Bombyx mori: one gene and its partner. The main gene of each other region encodes a partner of the protein of the gene in region 2 in a complex. Links are inferred from orthologs where the notes say so. Each region holds a gene or a part of one and is shown on either strand. Other genes may lie near its edges.

Region 1 (4,275 bases), on a different chromosome or scaffold from region 2:
TTCCATGAGATTTATTTCATAAGGTTCTTTCAAATGCTTTTCCATAAATTGTTTTACACTCAGAGGGAAAGTTGCAGAAAACAGCAAGATTTGGCGTTCCTTAGGTAATCTAAAATCCATCAATAATGTTTTTAATTCACACACTGTATTTGAAATTATGAGATGGCACATGACATTTATTTTGAGAAGCACTATTTAGCATTTCTTGGTCACTGAATTTGTTACACATGAAACTAACAAACGCTAACCTTGAAATAACCATATCCAGCATGCCCTTAAAGTCTTGTGAAAGAAGTTTGTCTGCTTCATCAAGAACTAACATCCGGCATTGATCCATTTTGGCCACCTGCTTATCCATGAGATCAATCATACGCCCAGGTGTGGCAATAATCACTTGTACTAGAAATAAAGTGTATATTCCATGAATATTTTCTATTTTGAAATTATTTCCATTTCAATTTGTGTATCTATATTTACCATTTTGATAAATACGCATTATATCATCTCGAAGGTTTGTGCCTCCTGTAGTAACCATTACACGAATGTCTGTGTGTTTTGCCAGTTCAATACAAATCTGTGATGTTTGGAGTGCCAACTCTCTAGTTGGTACAACAATTAAAGCTTGTATAGTATCCTTTTTAGGATCAACCTAAAACAATTCACTCTTGTAATTTCAATAATTACACAGTCTTGTTTTAAAACATAGTTTTTTTTAATCAGTTCTGTTTTGTCTCACTTATAAAAAGTGAAGGGGAATCCAAATATTTCATCATACATTAAAAACATAAAAATGAAAACTATTGTTACATATAACAAATTACCTGTTCCAAAACTGGAATACAATAAGCACCAGTTTTACCAGTTCCATTCTTAGCTCTTGCAAGTACATCTTTTCCACTTAGGGCAATAGGAATTGAGGCCTCTTGAATAGGAGATGGCTTCTCCCATCCCTTTTCAAAAATACCCATCAACAATTCTCGCTTCAAACAAAACTCTTCAAACTCATTGCCTCTAGTATCTGTGACATCCTAGAAACGAAATTTGATTATTATGTCCACTATAATCTAAATATATTCTTAAAATGATGTATGATGATGATCTATAAGAATGATCAATCACAAATATGATCTAAAAAATGAAAAATCAATATTTTATATTTCCAATAATCAGAATATACCATTGGATTTATGAGATTGCATAATTAAATAAAGCTAACTATATATGCTGCTAAGTGTTTTGAAAAATCAATAAGGAATACCATCATTACTATGTGGGCATCAAGAACTGAGGTACTCTTTGATATTAATTACTATTAAGGCAGACAATAGAACTCACCTAATTCATTAATAGTGTAGCTTAAAGACACAAAATTCTTTTACAATAGGATTAATTTTATTACAACTGCATTATAGACATGTTATGATAAAAAAAATCCTAAATAAATACAAAATGTTTAAAGTAGTAATTAATGTAGCATTGGAGCTATTTAAACAGAATTGAATTCTGTTTGTCAACAATGTATTAGATTGGAGATTGTAAAGACAAAAATCACTTATAATTAAATCAACCAAATACTTTTTCTTTTACTTTAACAGAATAAAACAATTCAAGAACTATACTTCCCCATAAATTTTATTTTTGTTTGTTGTTTAAAAGCAAACAAGCAAGCTTGTTGGAAATTTAAATTTTCAGTGTATAACTGGATTATTCGTGTATAACAATAATGCAATTGTAGAATACCACAAAATGTTCTAAAGTTGTTTTTAAATTGTTATATTTTGACTGTCTAAATTCCAATGACTATTGTATGTGGGCCGTAATTTCTAGTAACTAAGCCAACTTACACTAGTCTTTATTCTTCTGTCTTTTGGGGGTATTTTTAATTTTGATTTCCAACCAACGTCGTCGATGCTTTTGTCGACCTCTCTGAAAAATGCGTTTACATGATTAGAATATTGCTTCGTGTGATTCTACATGCAGTTAGCATGACAAAGGACATTTTATTAAATTTATACTTACCCTTTAGTTTGACTGATACTATTTCCGACGTGATTACTTGAACTAATTCTATTTTCGGTCATCATTTTGCCAAATTTATCCCTAGCTAGGGACGACTAAAATTAGAAACTTATAATCACACTAATTATTATTTGTCCAAGTCCAACACTAAATAAATTCTCTAAATCACTTTTAGACACGTATATTAGTCAGTTTATCACGTTCACCAAGTATTTCAGAATAGCTGAAACAAGAGGAACATATTTTTATATTAGATAAGTATATTAGAAAACCCGTTTCGGTCTTTTGAAAACGAAGATTACGAGACGCGTCAACAAGCTATATGACAAAGTAAATAAATCCCGTTATGAAGTGATTACTCGATAAGTTATTAGAACTAATAATGAGCTCAGTATATAGAAGTATTATAATAAATTAATGTTTACCAAAAGTTAAATGAAAAGGAGAGATTGAAAAGATAACAAAAGATTGTAAACTGAACTCAGTTATGTTTTTTTAATATGGCCGCCATCGCTTCGTTTAATTTTACTTTGTTTGTGAGGAAAAGACCTAAAAATTAATAAACTAAAACACTTCCAACTTTGAGATTAATACTGTTATAAAATATTGTTGTTAATTACCTAGATAAAAATTTAAAAAAGGTGACGACACTCGATACTCAACGACGACATCACAAGAGTTTACTCAACCAAAGACAATAATACACTTTTATTTTCTATTTCTGTATGTTGCTTGTTGCCTATGTTGGCTCCCTTGATTTCTTGAAAATATTTAAAACCATAAACATTTTTCTGGTCTATCTATTGTGTCCACCTAGTAAAAAGAACGTTACCTACACAAGACTTTCTTTAGAGTGTTTCTAAGCTTTAAATGGAAAAGTGCGATGAAATTAGAAATTATGTCTTCAGTATAATCATCAAATTATAGGAATTCGTAAAAAATCTAATTAATTTTTTTAACATAACCAGCTATTTCAATGCTGATGCACTTTCTCAGGCATTATTATGTTTTTATTCCACTAGTACAACAGCAAAATTATAAATTGACTAAATAAAACAGTTTTCAATTCACTGGTGGTATGGCGTATTATAAGCTCACAGGTGTCCTAAGTACTACCCAACTTATTTCTGGCACGAAAAGTTATGCCTTTTGACATGGAAGGTAAACTCAAGACTAGAATCTCGAGGTTTAATAATTTAGTGCTTCGTCGTGTTTAAGCGTTTAATAATGACATATTACAATTCAACATTTGTAAAAGTGTAAACAGTCTTTCACTTTAAAAAGTCCATTGAACTCTCAATAAATTCCTGCCATTTCACTGAGAGGTTATTTTTCATTTTACACAATAGCCACGCTATTTTTCAATCATACCTCATTTTACTCCATTTCATTTCATTCTAGAATGATTACATTTTTTTTACTTTGGTGGGAGGACGAACTCACGGCCCACCTTGTGTTAAGTGATTACCGGAGCCCATAGACATAGTCAACGTACATATAACCACCTACCTCAAGATATGAGTCCTAAGGTCTCATTTATTACAGTATGACTGCTCCACCTTTCAAACCGAAACGCATAGCTTTTTCACGACAGAAATAAGCAAGGTAGTGATACCTACCCGTGTAGACTCACAAGAACTACCTACCACTAGTAAAACCCACCGGTAGTAAACCCACCCAAACATTTTACTCTCAAACACAAAAAGCACTGTTTCCGCCTTTGAGTGAACTTGCGGGATTTGCTTTATTTTGCCTATTTAGTGTTTCTTCGGGCTTAAATGCGTAATAACGGTGGTTTACTAACTGCTTAGTATTTGTGAAAGTGCACAAATGTAGGAAAATAAAACAAAGCCTATGGACATAACTTCTCGGGATCCTCCAAAAAGTCCACTGAAATAGTTTCAGTAAATGGCCACCATTTTACTGAGATGTATATTTCATCCCATATCATCTCATCTCATCTCATTTCATTTCATTTCATTTCATGTTTCATATTAATTAATTAACTTCATTTTATTTCACTTCATATTATCATTTTTCATCTATTAAAATATATATATAAAGAATTAGGTTGTATGGTATGACACATTTGCCTTTTCATTTGGAAAAATAAAACTACTGTCACTGTCAATGTCTTATTGTCAATTGTCATAACATAGTACAAAAGTATGTTAAGATAGTGGTTAAGTTACATAGACCTATATAGTAGGGACACGACATATTGTTCTATACGTACAATTGCTTATATAAATAGCA
Region 2 (2,739 bases):
GCAGGCACTTTTTTTCTCTAAAGTACCTACATACATTTAACCAATTATACAAAAGAGTCGACTATTATCAAAGCCGGCAATGTGACTTTTGGACAATTATTGGTAAATCAGAAAAACGAATTGATTTCGTATTCCATTGGCAGTCACAAACTCTTCTGAACGACATCTTAGATAAATAACAGGTTAAGTTAATACTTTATTTAATGCAGGTTTTGAACCGTATTTTTTGAAGGAGACGATTATATTCAAATCAGTCTGTATTGCCATATCAATAACATTTTTTTGTCCAAATGCACAGATTGCCACCTTTGATAATAGACGACTCAAATACCAATGGCACTATTTACGGTATAATGGTTTTGAAAATTATTTAAAACTGGAAAATCTTTGAGATTAGACCAGTCTCTTGTTTGTTTGTATTATGGGGGATCAATCACTCAAGCCAGAATGTATGAATATGTACTTCATGGAGAAATCGGACGTTACAAACTTACTTATGCAAACGTGCAAATAAAAATTAAGAGAGGTTTTCAAAATAATGCACAACAATTTTATAGACTTACATATTTATTAGAGATCTGAACAAAATAAGAAATTAAATTATATGTACAGTCTATGTTAAAAACTAACTAAAATTAACAGTTAAAAAGGTACACACTGCTTTATTACTCAGTGGTAAGAAACTAATATTTCCTCTATGGTAGTTTGAAAGAAAAACAGTCAGCAAAATGTTACCAGCGATTAGCGTAAAAAACAAAAAGAAGGAAAAGGTGTAAATAAAAAAATATAATCTTTTTTTAAATACATTTCGGATTTCGAATATCAGTCAATCCGTTGCTGTGATTGCACATTTTATTATTAATACATAATAAAAAAATAAATAAACAGGCGTTATTAAGAGCCCGAAATAAATATTGCTCCCTCTAAGCCTTTTTTAATTTAAAAAACCTTTTTTCAAACTACATGTTACAAGTAACATTAAATATATAAAAAACTGTATAATGCAAAAAACAACATACAGTCACTTAACTGTTTACACCAAAAAATATTATGACATACAAATATCTTATGACAAATGAGTTGCTAAGGCACTCAACTACATTATTATTTATATCTATATATAAATATTAAAAAACGCGAAAAGCCAAGGGATCAGTGTGAAAATTACGATTTAGTGGGTTTTTTTTTTTCATTAATCTCGTATAGACGACATGCATTATAAAAATGTTTCAATTCCAAAAAATGATACTTATGCTAAAATAACATACTGTTTATTATGCGAAAACGTTTTTAATTTGAGTCTTCGTACGCGCATGTTGCGATGAATCAAACGTTAGTTGGCCGCGATCGGCTCTTGTACTTTTAAACTGTTATCTCCCGCCGCTATATCTGAAAACAATAATATAACATTACTAGCTGACCTGGCAAACGTTGTTTTGCCATATATGTATAAGATTTCTAGAGTACTTCTAGTGTAGAAAAAAAAACTAACTTATTGTAAGTGTGTAAGGATGTGGTAAATGAGTGTAAAGGCATGTAGCGCTGTGAACGATGAGGGAATATAAAAATAATAAAACCTTATTAACCACATAATGCCTCATTATAACAAAAAAAAAATTGTCCAAAAAACAAAAAAAAATGTTAGAGGAGGACAACCCTTAACACTTAGGGGTATGAAAAATAGATAGTAGCCGATTTTCAGACCTACTGAACATGCATATAAAACTTCGTAAAAATCGGTCAAACCGTTTCAGAGGAGTATGGTAACTAACATAGTGATACGAGAATTTTATATATAAGATTAAAAGTCATATAAAATTAAAATAATTACATAATTAACATTGTTTTTGACAACTACCGGATGTAAAGGACATGGAGGAGAATAGCCTCATCCAGAAGTATGCCAAAGACCGGCCTAAGTGGAGGAGTTAAGTCTTTTTTTTTTTTTGTCCTTGTAGGCAGTCGAGCATACGACCCACTTGATGGTGAGTGGTTACCGTCGCCCATAGACTTCAGCAATGCCAGGGGCAGAGCCAAGCCACAGCCTACCGTAAAAGCAGACCCTGGCACTAGACGGGAAAAATGTTAGGAAGAAGAATAAGTACTGATTCCCAAATCCCAAAAAGTCTGATTTTAACAAGGTTTCAAATAAGATAGACGTTGTTGGTGTGATGAAGCCATTTTACATTAATTTATGAAAGTTTCGACATAGTATTACTGGTGGTAGGACCTCTTGTGTGTCCGCACGGGTAGGTACCACCACAGCCTATGTCTGCCGTGAGGCAGTAATGCGTTTCGGTTTGAAGAGTGGGGCAGCCGTTGTAACTATACTGAGACCTTAGAACTTATATCTCAAGGTGGGTGGCGCATTTACGCTGTAGATATCTATGGGCTGCACTAACCACTTAACAACCAGGTGGGCCGTGAGCTCATCCACTCATTTAATGAAAATAAAGATATTTTTTCAAATGATTCAAATGATTACTACATACCATTAGTTTTGTTGGGCGAGTTTTGCGATGAACTATTCTGCGAATCACTGGTGCTCCCTTCAGCGTCTCCACTTGTATTGTTAGTATTGGCGGTCGATCGAGGCTGCGGAAAAAGTTGCACTATAAAATATTTTCAGGCAAAGCTTGATATACCTTACTTAAAGTTTAGTTATAAAATAACTAGCTTTTGCTCGAGCCTTCGTCCGCGTGGAATAGTTCACAAATAATGCTTTATCTTAGAACAAAT

What was found.
Region 1: exuperantia (region 2) and ATP-dependent RNA helicase me31b share a complex: the UniProt entries of both Drosophila melanogaster proteins name them as parts of the osk RNP complex. The link is inferred for Bombyx mori from reciprocal best matches to the Drosophila melanogaster genes exu and me31B.

The regions. Positions count from the first base shown.
Region 1 is NC_085118.1:10,825,114-10,829,388, reverse strand, and holds the start of ATP-dependent RNA helicase me31b, read right to left. Parts: upstream 2,801-4,275; 5' UTR 2,640-2,800; exon of another isoform or gene 2,445-2,639; intron 2,243-2,444; 5' UTR 2,085-2,242; coding exon 2,020-2,084; intron 1,927-2,019; coding exon 1,845-1,926; intron 1,029-1,844; coding exon 822-1,028; intron 650-821; coding exon 478-649; intron 400-477; coding exon 249-399; intron 110-248; coding exon 1-109. UniProt on the Drosophila melanogaster protein: ATP-dependent RNA helicase which is a core component of a variety of ribonucleoprotein complexes (RNPs) that play critical roles in translational repression and mRNA decapping during embryogenesis, oogenesis, neurogenesis and neurotransmission.
Region 2 is NC_085134.1:3,230,579-3,233,317, reverse strand, and holds the end of exuperantia, read right to left. Parts: intron 2,596-2,739; coding exon 2,493-2,595; intron 1,390-2,492; coding exon 1,334-1,389; 3' UTR 550-1,333; downstream 1-549. UniProt on the Drosophila melanogaster protein: Ensures the proper localization of the mRNA of the bicoid gene to the anterior regions of the oocyte thus playing a fundamental role in the establishment of the polarity of the oocyte. May bind the bcd mRNA.